Medicago truncatula: one gene and its partner. The protein of the gene in region 2 binds, or shares a complex with, the protein of the main gene of each other region. Links are inferred from orthologs where the notes say so. Each region holds a gene or a part of one and is shown on either strand. Other genes may lie near its edges.

Evidence for each region.
Region 1: DNA-directed RNA polymerase II subunit RPB7 (region 2) and DNA-directed RNA polymerase II subunit 4 share a complex: the UniProt entries of both Arabidopsis thaliana proteins name them as parts of the RNA polymerase II complex. The link is inferred for Medicago truncatula from reciprocal best matches to the Arabidopsis thaliana genes NRPB7 and NRPB4.

The regions. Positions count from the first base shown.
Region 1 is NC_053049.1:3,121,818-3,132,554, forward strand, and holds DNA-directed RNA polymerase II subunit 4, read left to right. Parts: upstream 1-6,458; 5' UTR 6,459-6,570; intron 6,571-6,689; exon of another isoform or gene 6,690-6,692; 5' UTR 6,693-6,707; coding exon 6,708-6,756; intron 6,757-7,677; coding exon 7,678-7,786; intron 7,787-8,134; coding exon 8,135-8,212; intron 8,213-8,728; coding exon 8,729-8,762; intron 8,763-8,888; coding exon 8,889-8,957; intron 8,958-9,778; coding exon 9,779-9,856; 3' UTR 9,857-10,177; downstream 10,178-10,737. Other genes in the region: E3 ubiquitin-protein ligase CHIP, read right to left, coding at 1,223-1,294, 2,298-2,361, 2,565-2,632, 2,730-2,837. UniProt on the Arabidopsis thaliana protein: DNA-dependent RNA polymerase catalyzes the transcription of DNA into RNA using the four ribonucleoside triphosphates as substrates. Second largest component of RNA polymerase II which synthesizes mRNA precursors and many functional non-coding RNAs.
Region 2 is NC_053045.1:46,416,355-46,427,639, reverse strand, and holds DNA-directed RNA polymerase II subunit RPB7, read right to left. Parts: upstream 4,269-11,285; 5' UTR 4,143-4,268; intron 3,634-4,142; 5' UTR 3,596-3,633; coding exon 3,480-3,595; intron 3,061-3,479; coding exon 2,895-3,060; intron 2,783-2,894; coding exon 2,732-2,782; intron 2,179-2,731; coding exon 2,113-2,178; intron 1,996-2,112; coding exon 1,927-1,995; intron 721-1,926; coding exon 658-720; 3' UTR 428-657; downstream 1-427. Other genes in the region: 40S ribosomal protein S14, read right to left, coding at 7,915-7,982, 8,236-8,365, 8,554-8,639, 9,658-9,703, 9,799-9,921, 10,092-10,094. UniProt on the Arabidopsis thaliana protein: DNA-dependent RNA polymerase catalyzes the transcription of DNA into RNA using the four ribonucleoside triphosphates as substrates. Component of RNA polymerase II which synthesizes mRNA precursors and many functional non-coding RNAs.

The DNA of each region.
Region 1 (10,737 bases), on a different chromosome or scaffold from region 2:
TGTTATTATCTTATAAAAATGCACCACACTGAAAATCAGCAGGAATGTTGTATTCAATCAGACGTGACATTAAAATTTAAATAATGGAAGAGCCATGTCCTGTTGACAGCTCAATAGCAAGCCAAAATTCTCAAACAAACTTTTTTACTTCGCAGCAAAATTTTAAATGAAGTGAAAAAATATAAAATTGAGAAATAAAAATGAAAAAGAAAGCAAATGCACAGTGAACAGAACCCAAGCAATCAATTAAGAATTAACTAAAAACGAGTTCCAAATCATTCCTCACGTAATATACATGGATGCATCCTTAGCTTTTGTTCATCAAATATCAACATAACAAGACTGAATTAGAGAGATAAAGAGATGGAAAAGCGTCCACACACCCTAAGGCAAAGCTTTTGGCTTAAAATTGGTTTGAAATTTCATTTCGTGTAGAAGAATAAAGGGGATTAGGGGTGTGTATGAATTATTGGGCTAGGGCTTGTACTGGTAATAATACACTAGTACTTCACCTATTTAGAATTACAAAATAGGACTTACTCAGTTGGTATTATGTATAACATCTCCATTCACCACACCATATCAATCCAATATTACTGGGATGTCCCTTTCTATCTTTTCTTCATTCCCTACCAATATCCTATAATTTTGCTAATATTGTAGAATTAATTTAGATGTAGCAAATGATGCAACAGGTAAATTAGTCATTTGTTTTGCTGTTTCTACCTATAAATAGTATTTCATTACTTGAGTCATGACTTGCGGTGCACATTATGAACCTTACAATGTACATATATATTCTTCACAATTTAATTTATGATGGTGTCTTAACTTGTCACTTGTCTCCGTCAAACCCAATGACAGTTTTAATATATCATGTATGACTGTCCTAGATCAGAAACAGTGTAAATTGCAGAATAATAAACCACATCCAATCCCAGGGGAAGGAAGCATAAAATGTGGGAACATGATTATGTATGTTATATTTTAATATTGTCTTTCTAGTTGTCCTGCAACATTTATCAATTGCACAAAGTTGTAAAATACTGAAGGTCACAAACAGAAAAGGGAAATAGTTTTTTTAACCAGTTAACACTTAAAACAAGTAAAGACGTAATCAAACTAAGAAGCACTAAATAATTTATTGCAACAGATATAACAAAATTAATTGATGTCCATGAAACACACAACAAGGGTGTTTGATGACAAATTGACGACAAACCTTTTGCAATTCTCGGATTCCTTTCGTATGTTCTTGTTTCTGTAGCAATGCAAGACCCAACATATAGTGTGCCTGAAATATGTGCAAAAGAAGATTCAGCTGGAAACAAGATAATCAAAACAAAGCACAAAGATGCAAACATTTACAAAATAATCAAATATAAGATGTAATGAGAAAAATATTCACACAGCCAGTGGTTTCACCAAACTCAGGAAGTCACTTCAACAAACAATTGATATATCAATCTATTAAAGTTCATATTTTGATATTGAAACACCTTCCAAAACTAACACAAAACAAGGCATACATATCTTGGTAGTTAATGTACTAGATCCCCCAAAGTTGTGTTTGGTTTAGACACAAAACTTAGCATCAATGAGTCAATAATATTAATATAATAACAAAGTTAAAAAAGATAATAATATTAAGTCGAGGTTTCCACGGAGATTGTTTGGACACCTGTACATCATCTGAGAGGTTTATAGCAAACATATGCATCTTACATAGCTCATCAAAATCATAAAACAATCTAAAATTTAGAAAACCCCCTTTAACGCAGCCCAGGAACCAACTAAATTTTAAGTAAAGAAAACATGGAAATAGGTTGAGTAGTTATTTGATAATTGAGTTGCAAGGATTTGTGTAACACGAATCCAACTCCTCAGAGATATGCAATGATCAGAGTTCTTAAAATTGTGGCCAAGAGAACTACTTAACGTTTCAAGAATCTATTAACATCGAGGAATTTGTATCCCCACGCATAAATAAATTTAAGAAAATGCAGAACATCACGAAAAGTTATGATAGGCTATTTAGCATCAATACCCAATCTGTTTTACGCCTAATCAGAATGTAAAGTCACGTGGATTGTTTTAAACCCAAAATGTGCATCGCGCGTGCATTTTCACGAATAAAGGGTCCGTGATATATAGCATTGCTCATACAACTAAATGTGCAAACAAATTCATTCAAAAGCAAAAGCAATATTCGTAACAGATGAATGAAGCCATTAAATCAACCACGAGCGAGACAAAAGGAGTAATTACAAAATAACAAACAGATCAATCATTATAACCTTAACAGAATGACTGTCCAGCTGAATTGCTCTTCTAGAATCTTCCTCAACCCTCTCCCATTCACTACAAATAAACCAAACACATTGTGGACACAATTGTAATCAATAAAACCTCCAAAATATCAATATTCCAACCACAATTTCAATTGCATACAGAAATCAAAACCCTAAAAATCCCACAACCCAAATTTCAAATCAAAATTAAAAACCCTAAACAATCAAAAACACCCAAAAAATCATAATCATAAAATTGATAAAAATACATACTTTCGTTTGAGATGACACAAAGCACGATTGGTGAAATAAACGGGAACATTAGGGCAAAGCGTAATTGCCTACAAAACAAAAAACCCATGTCAGAAACGAAACAAAGTTTTAATTTTTGCAATTGAAAAGAAAAGGGTTAGTAAAAACTGAAAATTTGGATGAAACCTCAGTGTAAGCATCGATGGCGGCATTAAAACGGTTTTTCTTGAAGTAATTGTTACCGTCGTTTCGCAAAAGTTCGGCTTGTCTCATCGCCGAAGCGTTTGGCCTCATTTCACTATATCTAATGTTTATATCTATAGGTGTAGATTATTATGTGAATGAATGAATTGATGTTTATAATGTGAATGAATTGAATGTGAATTGTAGAAATTTGGAGAAGAAGAAACGGAGAGTACCGATGAAGAAAGGTAACAACGAGTTTTTGGAAATATGATGTGAGTATTGAGTTGTACGCCTCGCAGTTTCTGTCATAAATCACGCTATGTATTAAATTAAATTAAATTTGTCAATATCCAGTCAAAATAAATTGTCATAAAATCTAAAAAATTTCTATCAACTAAATAAACAAACTGTGGAATATATTGTTTTTATATATCTTTCAAAAAAAAATATATCTGTTTTTTTGTATGTAATAATTTTTTTTACATATGTTGAAGGTTGTGTCTATTTTTTTTCTCTTTTTTTTTTTTGGTCTAATATCAATTACGTTTAAAAATAAAAAATAATTTGGATCTTCTCATGTTGTCCATCCTATTTTAATATCCGTCATTCAAAAACAATTTTATGTTTCTTCTTATTACTATTATTTTTTTTAAGAAACTTAATTTTTAGTAAAAAGTAAGTTTTATAATCATGAAAAGGGAGAACAAAAATATAATATAAATAGTAGAGTCTTCTTTTATATTAGATCGAGTTTATATTGTCCTCGTGAGCATAATTCAGTTGGTTCGAACCCCAGCCACCACAAAAAAAAAAAAAAAAGTTTATATTAGACAATTCCATATACGTAAATTTAACACAATTCATTTTTTTTTTAAAGAATAACACAATTCGTTTTTATAAGATCTATCTCAATTAATATTATCGCATTAATCCGGCCATTTTAATTTAAATTCGAACTTGAAATTTGGTGTGTAAGTTTAAATAGTGTTTTTCACTTCCTTCTTCTAGATGCTGAAAAAATATAACAAATTTTGGTTTCAAAAAATTTATACTAAATAATTTAGTGGTTATAGTTTCATCCATAAAGTGAATAAGTGAATAATTCATGATTCGAATATCAGTCTCTACATATTGCATCGTATTGTTCCTATCAATTAAATGTAGAGGCCGAGATATGAAGGAATCAAACCAATCGTGAAGGAGAGAAGAAAAAAAAAGAGCAGGCTCACCAAAGTTAAAATGCATTATGCACTTAATATTTTTCATTCTTAGGAGATCGAGACTATTAGTTATAGGATGCATATCATGAGTCAAGTCTTTTTTCTTCTTCTTTCTTCTAAGCTTAGATGCATTTTTGCGTCTTTAACTTTTAAAAATTGCAATTTTGACCCCTAAAAAGTAATAGCAATTTTTTACCTTAACTTTACAAAAAAATTGTAAGACAATCGAGAAGACGTCACATGTCAAAATATGGGACCAAAATTGCTATTTTTAAAAAACAATAGGTCAAAAGTACATATTTTTTAGGATAGAGGGCAAAAATTGATTTTTTTTTTGTTTGCGTTGTGCAATGTTTTATAAAGTTAATGGATCAAAATTGTAATTTTTTTGTTGGAGGGTCAAAATTACAACTTTTTAAAAATTAAGAGGAAAAAAAATACATTTAAACTTTTTTTTATTTCAATTATCAATGGTTTTGAAATATAATTGCAACAATATGATGATATTCGATAACTCCAATTATTTAATAATATACATTTAAAACTCTTCAAAGCTATAACTATGAAAAGAGAAAAAAAATATAGGGTGCGTTTGATTTGCTAAAAAATAAAGGATAAGACAGAACAACTCTAGTTGTCCAGTGTTTGATTTATAAAACTGTTTCAGGTACAGGACAAACTGGAGGCAAGCGACAGAACAAAAACTTATATTTTTGTCCCTCACCAAACCACATCACAACTTTTTATCCTACGTACAAGTTGTCTAAAATACCAAAATAACATTTTGTCCCTCAAAAATCGTATAAAACAAAAAATTACTCAATGCCATAAAAAATTTGTCCTATGCTGTTCTGCCTTGTGTTGTACTGTTCTATCTTATATTGTTCTGTCCGATACTTACTGTTTTGCAAACCAAACACACCCATAAAGAAAAAATAGCGAGAGGTTCTTACATGTATCCTTTACTTTTCTCTGTTTTTTTTTTAAGGAGATTCTGACCCATATTCGAACATTGTGTTTAATATAATTTTGTAAATAATCTTGATAATAATTTATTTGTTTCTATTTTTCTTAATTGGTTGTTAATTTTTATACTCAAAAGATCTTGTATTTAATTATGAATGAATTTTGAGGTCAAGATAGGATATTACCAAAACTTAGGGTCATGAAAGAATTTACAATAAATAAAATTTTATTGGATTAATAGGCCTTTACCCCTCTATAATATAGGGTACTTTCGGTTTTGCCCCCTGTAATTTTTTATTTAGATTCCGTCCTTATAAAATAAAGATTCTTCACGATTGCCCCCTAAGCCCATTGACTCAGTAGAATCTCTGATGTGACACTTTTTCTTTTCCATTTTTTTGTGCTTGTCACGCGTAAAAAATTGTTTACACGTCATTTATATTTAAAAAAACGAAAATCCTTTTTTAAATCGAAAAAAAAATTATTTTTTTTTCAAAAATTAAAAAAAATTTAGATTTTTTTTTTCCGAAATAGAAAATGTTCTTCTCTTTTTCAAAATTTAAAAAAAATTCAGATTATTTTCGAAATAAAAAAGTTTTTTAAATTTTTTTCTACAAAAAAAGAAAATTCTGAAAAATATTTTAATTTTTAAAAATCTGGATATAAATATTTTTAAATTCCAATTATATAATTTGAAAAAAATTTGATTTTATTTAAATTTTTAAAATCTTAACTTCAGATTTTTTTCGAAAATTTTAAATTTAGAAAAATTCAGATTTGTTTTTGAATTTTTTTATAAAATCATGAAATATTGTTCTAGAATTCAAATTTTATGAAATTTTGAATATAATTTTTTTTAATTGAAATCAAAATCTTAATTTCAGTTGTTTTTTCAAAAAAAATTAAATTTAGAAAAGATTTCAAATTTTTTCGAGAGTTTTATTCCTGAAATTTTATGAAATCTTTTTCGAAATTAAAAAAAATCAATTTTTTTTCGAAATTACAAATATTTAAAAAAAAATCTGAAACTTAATTCTCAAAATATTTTTTTTAGATAATATTATAATTTTCGAAGTTTTTTTAATTTATATTTGGATATTTTAGAATCTTTTTCGTAATTATTTTATAATTTTTTGAAAAATTCGAAATATATTAAATTTTAGATTTTCTTATAATTTTTTTCCTAATTAATTTGTTTATTTTATAATTTTTGAAAATTAATTTTGATATTTTTAAAATTTTTTATTTATTAATGACGTGTAATTTTTTTTTTACGCGTGACATTTAAAAAATAAATAAAAAAAGAAAAAGCCACGTAGTTGCCACGTCAATAAGATATTTTGATGACTCGAAGGGCTCGGGTGGCAAACCTAAAAAATCTTTAATTTACGAGGACGAATCTAAATTTTATTTTTCAAAGAAAAACTAAAAATGCCATATATATATTATTGAGGATAAAGACTTATTAATCCAATTTTATTTTATTTTAGTTTTTGAGAGAAATAAAGTGGTAGCTTTTATTTTTTATTTTTTTAAGGGAAAGTGGTAGCTTTATAAACGCTGCGTTTAACGTTGTCTAAAATCCAAAACGAGTGTTACTTTCTTCCCAGGTGAACGACACAAAGCCCTCAACTTCTCTCACCGTTTTGATTCTGGTTAGTTCGTTACACCGTTTCTTCTTCTTCTACTTCTTCTTCCCAATCACATCATTATCTTTTTGATTTGATTTGTACTAATTTCATTACTGATTCTGTGCTGACCTAATTGAATTCAGCAGAAGAAGGAGTGAATCATGTCTGGTGAAGAGGAAGAAAACGCCGCTGAACTCAAAATCGGAGACGGTAATTACTCATTCTCGGTTTTCTCCACTAATTTGCTTCTTTACTTGCGTTCTGTTTTGCTTGAATTACGTAGTGTTTCATTATTAGTAATTTTTTAAATCCCTAATTTGAAAATTTTACCTTCGTACATAGTAATTCTTCGTTCAGTGTTTCTTTGAGATCAGTACTTCATCTTCGTATGGTTTCAAAGATGTTTGAGCTATGATGTTTATATATCTTTTTTTTTTTTTTTTTTTTAAGGATGATGTTTATATATCTGAACATTTAACAAGTTAATGAATTATAATTATGTGTTTTATATATAAATTCGTATTTGAGTTAATGAACTAATGCTATTTTTTACCATAGTTGATACGCTAGCTTATGACGGATGAACTTATTTATAGAGGATAACCGATAAGCTAGCTCACAGCGGATAATCTAGTTGAATGAATTTGTACGAGCACTTGAGCAGAAAGCTGTTTTATAAGCTATCCTATAGAGTGTATAGAAATAAGCTGAAAACAGCTTATGAACATGTCATAAGCTGTTTTCTTAAGTTCTTCTCACAAGTGCTTATGCCAGTAGATAAGCTCAAGTAAACCAATCCAATTCCCTTATTCTTTTAGCATGTGCTACGTTGAATAATACCTAAACTCATATTCTGAAGTGATATACTATAATACTATCTATATTTTTAGGTGATTAGTTAGTATATGAGGGTAATAAGTAATGGGTGTTGCTTTGATTAGTTGCGGCGTATCACCATACTCCTTTCAGATAGCTATTTTATTACACCATTCAAAATCTGATTGGTTCATTGATAGACAACGATCTTATGTTTTGTCATGTTGGATTGATTGAACATGTTTCAAGTTTGGTATAATTGTTGTGACTTTTTGTTTTTTCGCTAAAGAAGTAGTTTTTTTTTTTTTCTTCCAGAGTTTTTGAAAGCAAAGTGCTTGATGAACTGTGAGGTTTCATTAATTCTGGAACACAAATATGAGCAGCTTCAGCAGTCGTCTGATGATGCCATGAATCAAGTTTCTCAGTGAGTTCTAATCCTGTATCAATGTTCATGTGTTATTCAGACGTAAAGTTCATGCATGCCATTTTTACGCCCCTAGCTAAATTACTTTTTATTCCGGGAATATGACATGCATTTGTTATGCTTAATGACTCCAAGATCTTTTATTTTGATACTATTGCTGGAAGAAGAGAGTTATGCTTTGATGTCTGCCGCTGTAATAATACCTAAATTAAATAACATGTCCTTGAACTTGCCAAACCCAATTTACATATTTTCAATGATGAATTTGACAACGATGTTGATATAGAAGCGGAGTAATGTTGTAGTTAGCACCTTAGAGTAATGTGTTTTTCCTTCTATTTTTTTCAGGGTATTTGAAAAGTCATTGCAGTATGTGAAGCGTTTCAGCCGCTACAAAAATCCTGATGCTGTTAGACAAGTTCGAGAGTATCCTCCAAAACTGAGCTGATGAACCCATTTTCTTTTTCTCATGATTCATATATTTACTTAAATGAAAATTGTGACGGTGTCCATCTCATTTCTTTCATAATAATGAATAATCTCGTTTTCTTTTATTTCTTGATTGACTTTTCTCTTGTCTTTCTGGATCCTGTGTTTCCTTTTAGGGTCCATTTGGTTGAGAGTGGTTGAAGGGGAGGGGATATTTTAAATCATTTATGTTTGGTTCAATTTTTAAGAGAGGGGGATGGGAGGGAATCAAAACCCCTCCTAGACCACTTTTTGCTTCCCCTCAAATTGGGGGGATTTGGAAGTGAGGTGACTAAAAACACTTCTAAACCATTTAAAATTCCTCCCCTCATTTTAAACCAAACATGCTTTTAATTAAAAACTCTCCCCTTTGTTGAACCAAATAGACCCCTACGTAATATCTCTTTCTATCATTTAATAAGAAATTTGAAATTGCAAAGCCCTGTATCAGATTGTGATCTTAACTGGCTTAAGAATTCTTGCGAGATATCAGTTGGCTGAATTTGAGGTAATATGACTATTCCTTTCACAAATTCGGTTTAGGAAGCAAGTTTTCACATTTTATTATGAGGATAAAGAAAAAGAGTTATAATTTCACACAATACAATTAACTGTTTCAATGAATTTATTGCAGCTGTGTGTCCTAGGCAATCTTTGCCCGGAAACTGTAGAGGAAGCTATTGCTATGGTTCCATCTATCAAGGTAGAAATAATTTGCCTCTCCTTCTTTCTGTAAACTTTTCCTGTTGGGCGGGGATGAGAAGGGTTTGTTTTTGGGAAGGAGTGGTGATGTTAGGTCAATTTTAAATGATTTGAATTCTCCCTTTCATGCTTGTTAAAATGAAGAAGGGGAGATAAATAAAGGCATGAATTGAATCAAATATGATGTTCTATAAATTTATCTCTTTGAATAAATTTCTATTAAAATTTTATCGAGTTGGTAGGAGTTGGTAGGACGGTAGTATTGTTTGATTGATGTGGTCAATACTATCTAGCAGGGAATAACTTATTTTTGGTGTAAAATTCTGTTTTGTTAATGAGCAAAATCAGAAATATCTACAAGTTTGGCAATTAAATTTACAAAAATTCCCAATATTGGAGAATTCATAAGTAAAAGCTGGAGGATTTTATTGGGTTACTATTTATCTCCGTAATGGCATCTCAGTTTTTATTAATATGTTTCATTTATTTTTCCCGCGAGCCTTCTGTTACATTGTTCTTTTACCATTTGCCCTCACCATAATATATTCCAGATTCATCATGGTTCAAAATGTTTTTTCTGACAGATAGAATTAATGAAAAAACTTCATTTTCTGGGTGTACGTGTGTTGTCCAATTTTAAACTTTACTTACCTCTATATGGTTGTAACCTTATAATAATTGATAGGGTGATTGACATTTGAAGTATTCTTGCACCCTTGTGGATCGTGGTTTTAAAATTATAGTACTGTTAAACATGGTCACACTAAATTTGTGTAACAACTAATACATCTTTTTTGTCATGTGTCATTTTTTAACATGCAGACAAGAGGACGGGCTCAGGATGATGAAGCAATTGAGAAGATGTTAAATGACTTATCACTGATTAAGAAATTTGAATAAGAGTTTCTTACAGTTCTTGTAAATCATGGTCAGTTCTGTGATGTACGGTAAGTGGTACTGTATAACATACCACTTGACAGCAAACAATGTGTTTTGTAGTTATTGCAGAACTCATGCTGGTAATATAGCTACCTTACTGTGACTTTTATTGAGGAGGATTTGAAAAAGATGGTATGTGGTGCATTGAGACTGTGTGTGGTAGGTTATGAACTTATGATGAAAGAACACTGATTATTGTCTTGCCTGTATTCTCCTATATGCAACAAAAGGGGAGCTATTATTTTTTTGCTTGTGACATGATTAGAGAACACATTACACACACCGGTTCCTATTTCCTACAAATGTGTGATAATTGTCTAGAAACTAAAGAGATACACTTAATGCAAATTACCGAACCCTATCTTCTAGGATATTAGATGCAGACACATGAGCTCACATTATTATTTAGATATGAAAATTTTCCTAAAATGAAAATGGATTGTGTTTTTTGATCCTTCTTCAAACTACAAACAACATTTTGTAGAAACTATACTTTGTGTGGCATTTCATTTCAATTTCATGTCGTATTTCATTATAGCAATTTCGCAAGAAGCAAGGATGCTCAGATATAACTGGATGGTATTATTCAATCTTTTTTGTAGAGGTCGTGTTAAAATAAGTAAAAAAAAAAAAAAAAAAAAAAAAGGCATCTCTCGTTCCCGAAAGAGCATTATGCATTCCAATGATTTCATGAATGCTTAGTGTGGATATTTTTTACAGCTTTTGGTGTATCATAAATTCCATGCAACCATGTCGATAAAAATAATCTGGATAACTCTGAACCTCATCAACGGAGGGGGAATTCCATATTTAGGCTGACTAAAAAATTCAGGCTTATGTTG
Region 2 (11,285 bases):
TTGTCAAATATAACATATGGGGCAGATGTTGTTTCTAGGTTGTGTGGTGAAGATTGATTCAACTTATTTGTATTTTGGGTGACATTGATTCAATTTATTTGTATTTTGGGTGACTGAAATCACCATTCTTGTATTGTAAAAAACTCGAGAACAACAACAGCAGGTGAAGAAAACCCATGAAAGTCGAAAGTGAAGAAAACCCATGAAAGTCGAAAATGAACCACACACACTTTCTCTGTTTACCACTAAACCGTTGGATTAATCCAACGACAAGAGAAACTGCCGGATAAATTAAGGCAGGAAGGGATTCATTTCGTATTAAAATAGTACCTGTTTGTTCCAACAAAAAAAAGTACCCGGACATCTTACTTTGCGTTGCTTCCCAAAAATTAATTCTTGACCCAAATAGTAAACAAATAATGCAGTGTTTTTTAGTAAAAGGAAGGACTGAAAATATTGCCATTAATTATGGGTACAGCACAAAGGTAATTGACATTGACAGATAGAAAATATTCATACACAAATTGTAATCAATAAGAGAATTTGATACATCAACTAAGTAACTCTGGTAATTTATGCAACAGAGTTACACCAACATGATGAGTATCAGGTGTATGCCACTAAAACTATACGATAGAAGGGTACATAAAGGTGAATTTAAACTGTTGCAGGGTCGTTGATCACACCCAAGAAATCGTCTTTAATGGTACCTATGCAGAACTGCAAAAGTGGATAATATGTAACATTAAATAAATGAGTTCTTGAAGATAGTGAAACCATAAAACATGATAAATAGTTATATACAAAAGATCAAAGGAAAAATAATTTAATAGCTATGAGAAACTGAAGAGTTGCACTGGTCAGTGTTCATTGTATTCGTGTTATAGCCCTAAGGGAGAGTGAGGGGAATGAAAAAATAGGCTTAGCATGTGCAAGAGTATACTTGATTCTCATTAAGAAATATTGGAAAAAAAACATTATCTAATGCTAAAACGGTAACTAGGCTGCGAGGCCATCACTATCACGAGTTAATTAAGACATCTTACAGGATAATCATGCAAGGAAATAGGAACAATAATCAGACAAGTAACATCAACTAGTTCTACCATGTTCTGCATCTTACTACCGTAGTAAAGTAAAATTGCAGCATGGAGCAGTCATGAAGAATGATTCTTGCAAACCACAAAAGTGATAAAAGATTAACCTATACTTGGTAGTCACTTTCACATTCCATGTTGATCACTGTTGACATGGTTGTTGGAATGGTGGTGATAAAAGATTAACCAAGTGGTAAAACACTAGCATAAATTTATCGCCACTTTTATGGTATGTACAGATCACTACTGCTAAGCCTGTGAATCATATAAACTGATAGAAACCGACAGTTATGAGCAATGCGACAGTGCATTATTTCATAAAAGGAAATGAGATCTAGCTCTACAATGAAAATAAAAGTACATCCAGAGTCAGTGACTCCTAACCAGAGAGATATTATCTCCTACCCAGCTCAATAGCATAATCCGGAATACCCTCACACCTAGACTCTCCCTCCTTCAAATAAAATCTAGGGACCCCTCATAACTAACTTCCACTATTCCCCACTGACCCCAGTCTTCCCCTGCTCGTGTATACCTACCATGTAGTGGGTCTATTCATATTTGCTTTTATAATTGGATCACCTGTGTCATAAGGCCCAAGGGTCCTACCATGAACTTAAAAATCAAACTATCATAAACTAAGGCCGTTCTCTAGCAATTTGTACTAGTAAGCAGACCTGCAAGAAATGAAAGCTATATCTGGCACAGACCACAGTGCTTTCATATCCTATTAATTTGAATTTCTTAAAAGTATAATTTCACATAAAACTGATGGAGCTTAACAACATAAATAAAAGCAAACTAAAAGCTGCAATATATACAGGCTTACAATTTCAGTAGCATCCACTCGAGTCCCAATTATCTTTAGCCTCACTTCACTGTCTTTCTGAATCTTAACCTGCAAAAAAACAAACGATCAAAGCCAAAAACAGAAGAAAACACATTAAATTGAACACCTAAAAAAAAAAATTGCTCTCTTCCTCTTCAATGAGAAATTATTATAAATGATATGTACCGATCCATCTGAAGTAGTGTAGTTTGGCATGTCTCCAGTCTGGAATTCCATATCATCTGGAATCAACTGAAAGGAGAAAAAAGGGTCTGATCAAGACAAAAATACATGAGGAAATAGTAGCAAAGGCAAAACAGAATAGCTACGGGGGAGACTAAACTCGGGTCACAGTTCAAAGCTTGCAAATTATCCTTTTTTCAAACCTAGCAAGAAATCAATGAAAACCATTTTCATACAGACATCTAAAAGAGGAATTGCATTGGAGATAATGATCTCTAGTGTAAATACTATATAGTCAATATGACAAATGACAAAACAAGAAGTCGATTTCTTTTCCATTATTCAGAAATCAGAAGAACATAAGTGCTTATGCAACTTGAGTTCAACAAGTTTGGACAGCATTCCGTAATTCTTTTTTTTGGAATGTGCATTTAATTTTTCAATATGAAAGAATAACTTAAGACAGGTTATGTCTTTTACTACTCTAATCTCAAGTTCAATAAATGAGAATCATGATTTTAGGGCTTAAAATGAAGAACAATAATAACAGTATCTTAGGTACAAGTGTGTAAGGTGAAGATGATGATAGAGGCCTTTTGTCAAAGGTTATAAAAGAACTTACATGGTTGGAAACGAAGATTTGAACTGGTCCAGCTTCAGCAAAAAAACCCATCTGTACAAACAGAACTCAATAATATAAACCACTTTATCAACACAGCAGAGTCAGACACCTAGATAAAGCTAATGAGTAAAATGTAGAGACAGGGGAAAGGAATTGCATAAACCTTGTTCACCATGGTAACAACAGCTTCTAAGATCTCTCCCTTAAATGGTCTAAAGACAACACATTGGTACTTAACCGGAAATGTCACAAATCCGGTCCCATCCCGAATTATTCCTTTGCCAATGTTCTCAATTCCCGTCACCGCCACCACAAATCCATGTCGTCCACTGCGTAATAGTTGAAAGCCCAAAAATTGCATCACCACAAAGTCCAAAACAGAAACAGTTTGATCCAAATTATTACAGGTTTATTTCCAAACAAAATTAGTCCAAGACACAAAAAGGCTTATCACAGATATTGTTAGTTTGGGGTTAAAGAGGTCTGTTACTGTTCTACTGGCCCTTTATTTCAATTGAAATTGTTTCCATCATCAAGTAATGCTCAAAGTGCAGTTCTATTTAATTTGTCTTCTTCAAATGATAAACAAAAACAAAATTGAAAAGAAATCAAAGACAACATAGTACATATTCTTCAAGTAGTAGTCTGTTAGTGAAAAAATCTCAAGTGATGGCATCTTTTGTCCTAAGTTTAATTACTAGAACTATGGTTTTGTAAAAAAGAGTGAAATGATCTTAAGGTGAATCACCTGCAAGTGCCTTCGACATCTTTCATTAGCTTGGAAACAAGATTATCACGAAGGTTACGCCCAAAGTAGCGTGGATGCAGTTGCATGTTTCGCTCCAGCACTATGTGGAAAAACATTTTCTTTTCTCTCCCTTCTCACCGAACCTGAACAGTTACTTGTGGCCACAAAACAAATAATAAGAGTAGATTCAAAGAATACCATAAAAAAAAAAAAAAAAAACAGTCAAAACCATATAAACCCTAAATCGAATAAAAATCCAACTAACTTCATTTCAAACAATGAAAGAAAGATGAAAAGATATATATGAATGTACCCAAATTCCCAACGCTAATGAAAATAACATAGTAAGTTAAACGAATAAAAAAAAATCACAAGTTGTCGATGAAATTCAATGGATATGAAATTAGAGAGAAAGTGTGCCCTAGTAACAGTTCATTGTTCGGGTAATTTTGTGAAGTAATAAACAGAGTTTAGCCTAATTTGCTCTTCGATTGTAATATTTGCTTATGCAATAACTAATATTAACTGAATATGTGGTTAATTAGAGTGTTAACCCTCGTTACTCTCTTGAAGTGATGGAGAAAAGGCTAGTCGCTGTTTTCGCACTTCAATTCGAAAAGATAGGGGAGAGGAAAATAGGGAAACTAGAGAGTAGACACGAACCTTGTTCGTTGATGAAGCTAAGAACTGCGGGGGAAGAAGTGAGAGAGGAATCACGGTTTTTATTTTAGACTTGTTTGGGGATTTTTTTTGTTTTTCATATATCTATAGAATCGATTTTTTATTTACAGAATAATTGATATATTTAGACTATATTTGCTATAAGACTCTATTATAGATAAATTAAATGGGTGCGTTTGATTTGCTAAAAGAATGAAGGACATGACAGAACAGAACAACTCATATTTGTCCCTCACCAAACCACAGCATAATTTTTTGTCCCACGCACAAGTTGTATAAAATACCAAAATATGTTTTGTGTTGTGTTGTAGTACTGTTCTATCTTATACTGTTCTGTCCAATACTAGTTGTTTTGCAAACCAAACACACCCAATAAGTTATTCGATTTCAAAAAATATTATTTGTTTGTATATAAAATCGGATAGATATGTTAACATCATTGTTTTAAAACCCAGCACCGGCCAGTCGAACCGTGAACCGGTGGTAGAACCGATTCAAGTAAGTAGTTAGATCAGTCATGCATTTGACCCAGTGTGAATCGGACGACTCGTCCGGTTTTTTCAATAAACCGATGAACCGACGGTTTCTACAACTCGGACCGGGTCAAACACCATCGCAGATCGCACAACAAAAAATTGATGTCGCTCAAATTAATTTCTGAAAAGGAAGGGAGAAAGAGGTATAGAGAAGAAATACATGAAATAGAAAACAAAACAATTGAAGAAGAAGCATCAAGAAAGAAGCTGCGCTGTGTTTGAATCGCACAAGGGGAAAATCAAAATGTAACGGCGGCTGCAAATAACTAAGAGACGTGTTGTTTGTAAAAAAAAAGAGCAATGTTATTTGTATAACCATTTATTGTGACAACTTGTTGGACAACCAAATTTTACAAAGAAATTTAAATAGTGGCACAAAAATCAAAGCAATAGAGAGAGAAAGTAGAATAATCATGTGAGTATGAGAGAGAAAGTTGTCACAAAAATTGTCAAAAAATGGTTGTTCAAATATCATTTTTCAAAAAAAAAAATGTTGGTTTTATAATTAGGGTTATGCCTTGAGAGAGATCAATGGGCTTGGGCCTTTTTTCTCTTAGACTCGGGTCAACTTTTATATTCTTTTTTTTATTTTAGCTTTTTGTTTGTCTTTTTTTGTTTTTTGAATGCATATTTTTTTGGTTGCAAGTATTTATATTTTTAAACGTGTGACATCATTCCTTCCGATTAACATTTATATACAGCCTAATTTTGAAAATTTTAAAAGGAGAAAGAAAATAAGAATATAGAAAATTAGGAGTTTTTAACTAATTTAAAAAATTGAAATTTTTAGAGATTGATTCATCTTGTTCAACCTAATTTAATATTACATAAACAAGTTTAATATAGAGACCAAGTTATTCGATCGAGTCATCCGATTTAATCTGGTTAAGTCATGCGGTTCAACCAGTGACTCAATGGTTCGACCATTAACCCAGTGACCCAATACCTTTGTCAAGTCGATGGTTGAGCCGAGTTTTAAAACTATGGTTAACATATGCTTATTCCGTTATTATTTGTTGCTTTCACATATATATTGAGATGGATTCTAGGGTGAAGGAGCAATTAAGTCCCTCACCGGTGTACCACTTATATTTTACCATTAGAATTTTAAAAAAATTCAATGGTTTAGATTTATTGGAAATAAAAAAATAACACTTATGTCTTCCTAAATAACACTTATGTCTTCCTACATAACACTTATTTGTAAATCCACAATAGTAGGAGAGATAAATTGTTGAATGATAATTTATTTGCATACATAAAAAAAACATTGTATTTTTTCTAGTGTTTAAAAGGTACCTTATACAATTTTGTCTGTTCAATTGCAAGTTTGGTTCAGTATTTTCACCATTTCACATACCCTCTATTTTAAAAATTGGTCCCTTTGTCATTGTCATTTTTATTAAATCTGTAATGTTTTAAATAATGTAGAATGTGATTTCATGACAAAAAAACTCAACCTCGATATTCCCTTCAAAACTTCAAATATCATATGGCCATATTTTAGACCAAATATGTCAAATTTTAAAATAGGTCAACTAACATCGCATAACTAAACTAAGGTAAATTGATTTTATTAGCGCAACTACAAAAAACCATTGAAAACATCCATAACAAAGTTTACAAATTACAATCAACATAAGTAGGAATGAGGCCGGATACTCGCACCAACGCTTGGTGGAATGACAGATATTGACTGTAGTTTTAGGTGGTGATTTTAGGCAGATATTAACTGTTGTCTGAGGAGGAACGAGACCGGATATTGTTAATGCCTCGGTCAATTCGTCAAAGATATGGGCTTATTGTAATGTGTTGAGGCTTACTGTTAATATGAGATTGGGTGCATCTTCGGTACCTGCAGAGCAGGAAGAAATTGCTAATTTTTGCAAGTGGATACTCTCAATTGGAGACGGCAACGATGCTTTGGGTGACAATGGTGAAATGAAGGTAGAAATTCCTGAAGATTTGCTGATATCAGACACAACAAATCCGTTGATGTCACTTATAGACTTTGTGTATCCCGATCTAAATGATAACCTTGGTGACCAACTATTTTTCCAAGAAAGGGGAATACTCGCACCAACGCTTGATTCAATTGAGCATGTTAACGAATTTATGATGTCGCTGATTCCAGGTGAAGAGAAAGAGTATTTAAGCTCTGATTCTATTTTTAGATCGGGTGAAAATTCTGATGTCCAAAGCGAGTGGTTCACACCAAAATTTCTTAATGGTATTAAGAGCTCTGGAATTCCAAATCACAGGTTGAAACTAAAGGTGGGATGTCCAGTTATGCTGATGAGAAACATCGATCAGGTCAATGGACTGTGTAATGGTACTAGGCTGAAAGTTACACATCTAGGGAAGAGCACGATAGTTGCTACCGTAATTACAGGAAAAAGGGCAGGTACTAGGGTATTCATTCCCAGGATGAATTTTATTCTGAATGATCCAGGACTACCCTTCAAATTCAGGCGCAGGCAATTTCCTTTGACGCTTTGTTTTGCAATGACAATAAATAAAAGCCAAGGTCAATCTTTATCTTGAATGGAGTTTTAGCTTCATAAGCCTGTGTTCACGCATGGACAACTTTATGTCGCTGTCTCTCGGGTAACTTCAAGAAAAGGTCTAAAGCTGCTCATCCTGGATGACGATAATAATGTTTGTAAGGAGACCACAGATGTTGTGTATCGTGAAACCTTTGTAAAAAAATTAAACGTTTGCATTTACCGACTACATATGCTAAGTTTAACAATGAGTGAATCTTATACTACAAATAATTAGTACAAGTATAATAATCCAGATATTTTTATCGTTATATGCAATGTTTAGATATTTCATATCGAATTTAAAATCTATACATTTGATCAAAAAAGATTTTTATTTCCCCGTGCTGACACGGGTCACTATACTAGTAACTAGGAATTTCACAGCCATTGATATTTCAATGGTAATTATACCAATGCCATTAAGTACTAATTCTCATACGGTATAAAGTAAACATGAGAGAACAAAACAAAAATTAGATGAAGCAATTTATCAAATCCGCAAAAGTGTAAATCATAGAAGAAACATGAAAAACTTTCATTTGACTCTTAACTTGTATCTAAATAAACTCATGTAGAACTTTTGAATATGCCACAATACAGTCTGGAAAGAAACAAAAACACGGTGACCAAAATAAAAACATAAGCAGCTCCTTCCATAATACCATAGCAAACTCAGAGCCTTCTACCCCTTCTACCACTCTTTCGGCGGGTGCTGTCAGAAGGAATTGGGGTCACATCCTCTGCAAATTTAAAAACAAAAGGCAAGCTAATTAGATATTAAGCTGGATATCAAAACTTAGAAACTCATCGTCAAATGCTGAGAATACAAAATAAGAGTAACTAGGAGGGAGAACTATTACTTCATAAACAAGATTCACAAACACAACGCATAAAACAAAAGCACATAAAAAACTATAGACCACATCACCAGCTTAGAGCAGCAGGGAACAAATTTACCAAGACATGCATCCTAAAAATGGACTAAAGGAATACCTATGCGACCGATTTTCATTCCTGACCGAGCCAAGGCACGGAGAGCAGCCTGAGCACCAGGGCCTGGTGTTTTGGTCTTGTTTCCTCCAGTAGCACGTAGTTTGATGTGAAGAGCAGTTATGCCTAACTCCTGTTCAAGAACACAGAATCAGCAAATTATGACAGCTAATGGAAAATGCCAATGAAATAACAATTAATATTTGATACGACAGGCGGAGCAATCAGATTACAAGAATTCAATCAAATTAAAAAGAGCAACGCAATCGCTTGTCAAGAAAAAACACAAGTGAATAAAAAGATACAAATATATGCAATTACCTTGCATCTGGTGGCAACATCTTGTGCAGCAAGCATGGCAGCATATGGAGATGACTCATCTCGGTCAGCTTTGACCTTCATTCCACCTGAAACATAACAAATTAGATAAGACAAACAGACTTAGACATGCATCAAACTGGTTAATGACAACGAAGATTTATACATTTAAATGAGCAATTCTACTATGGTCACAACCCCAAATGAAAAATATTTGGGCACACCCAAACATAAATGAAAAAAATAAAAACAAAATTAATTAAATCACATCAATCAACATCATTTAATTTTATTCTCTTTTAAATTTTTCATTTGAAGTGACTCTCATATGAGTGTGCCCAAATGATTTATATTTGGTGTTGTGCCAATAGAAGAATTGCTCCATTTATATTATCAGGGTCATTGGTAAACGGTAGAGCAAAATTGTAAATGGCAAGAACGGTCTGTTTGGAATTGATTATTTACGCTTATCTACTAGCATAAACACTTGACTTAGAAAACTTGGGAAAACAGCTTATGACATTCATAAGCTGTTTTCAGCTTATTTTTATAAATTTTCCAAAATAGCTTGTGAAGACGTATTATAGCTTATATGAAAACACTTGAGTTTATTTTATCTATTGTTATAGAAATAGCTTATGGACCTGTTTGGATTAGCTTATTTTTTGACATTATGCAAAACAGTTTATGGGAATAAATAAGCCTCTATGTATTATTCATAAGCTTGTCATAAGGTTATTTTTTTGCATAAGCTATTTTTCTTAAGCTAAAAAACAAGTCAATCCAAATGCGACTTATACCTAATCATGACAAGTGCACACAGCCACACACTATAATTGGATTTGGAACTAACCAAACAGGTCCCAAATCTTCACTTTGGGCATTGCTCAAGTTTATAATCAGTTGAAAATCAAACAGTTCCATAAAAACGTAGTTCCACAAAGCACATATCAAACATAAAAATCTTGTAAATCAAATATACATGAGATAAAAACTTATTTTCACACAAATCAACTAAAATTACAGAGAAAAATTTCAATATAACTTCAAACAATTGAGCAAATTTAATGTTAAATGAAATGAAATGAAATAAAAACACACACTTACCAGTAATACGGACAAGTGTTTCTCTACCAGACAAATCAGTCACATGCTGAAATAAATCAATTCAATGAATTACACCAACAAATAAAATAAAAAAAACACAAAATTTGGAATGAATGATAAAAAGAAGGAAAATAGACTCACGATGAAGGTATCGTTAAACGAAGCAAAGATACGAGCAACACCAAAAACTTGTTCTCCATCTTTAACAGCTGGACCAAGAGTCACTGTTTCTTCCTTTGGCTCTCTAACCTTTCTCTTCGACGACTACAATCACATAACCAATCATTTCACAAACTATGAGATCTTACAGAAAAATATTTCAATTTCAAAGGAAAATCTATTTGTATGCTCAATGACTTAACAAATTGAAATTGAAAGCCATAAAGTGTTTGTAGTGAAATTATTACAGATCAATGTTTATGGAGTTAACGTACCATTGCTGAAGGTGGTGTTGGGTTCCTACTTCAATCCGCCGGCGTGCACCTTCTTCCTCTTCAGAGAGAACAAAGCGTCGATGGTTTTCGTTTATATGGGAGAAAAGAAATTTATCTATGGATTAGGGTTTTGTGAAAGTAGATGTTGGGCTTGTGAGCTTTTGGTAGCAGCTGAGCCTGTCAGCCCAAAATATGGGCCTATCAAAAGTTGGAATTATCCAAATATAGATAATTGTTCTTTAGGCCCCCGTATTGCTCTGAAGTCCCTCAGTTTCTCTATCGAAAGATAGAAAATTTTACTCCTTTTTTAATTCTTCTTTGTTTTGGAAACAATGCATAGGGATCCAATTTAACAACGGTTTTTTTTTTTTTATTAGAACTTATCCTTGAATTGCTTTTCTTACATTGTACAAATAAAAAAAAATATTAAAAGATGCTAACATAGCATGTGCCTTAGAGCATTGCATTCGTACTTTGTAGTTCTGTGTTGTCGACGAAAGACTGTTGGAACAAAATATGTTTAGCAATAATAACCCTTTAAGAGTTTTGAAGATAACAAAGTATTAAAAATTGTCAATTGGATACGCTAATATTTGTTCAAGTGTACATGACTATAGACAAAATTTGACATCTAAAATTGATCGTGAAAGAACAAATAAAGAGTAACAATATCAACAAAAAGAGAAGCTTAAAGCGTCTGAAGAAACCTGCTCCTGGAGTTTGAAGTGCTCCTGAAGACAAAGTGCTTCTGAAGTGATGATGTCATCAGAAGCCTAGTTCATCAGAAGCTATGTATCACTAGAAGCTGCAGTTCATCAAGAGATGGAACTCAAGCTTTCAAAAGCTGTTTCAAGGACTCTAATTCGCCTATAAAATTAAAGAAGACTGGAAGAGTGTGACAACGGCTAGTTTAAAATGCATTGGATGTTAATTCTTCAAAGAGCGTTGACATAGTACGATTGTACGAAGTGTACAACCACTACTTTCACTACTCTGTTTTTGTCTCTGCTACAAGACGAGAAAAACAGCTCTGCCTGCAAACAATGTTTATACACATTGGGAACGCATTTGAAATTGATCCTTCATACGACAATAACCATATCAGACAAAGGATCAATGGTGAATTATCAAAGCTTCAAACGACTCTATTTTGGATGTGCTGACAATTTAACGTCTCTCTCAAACCTCTATATA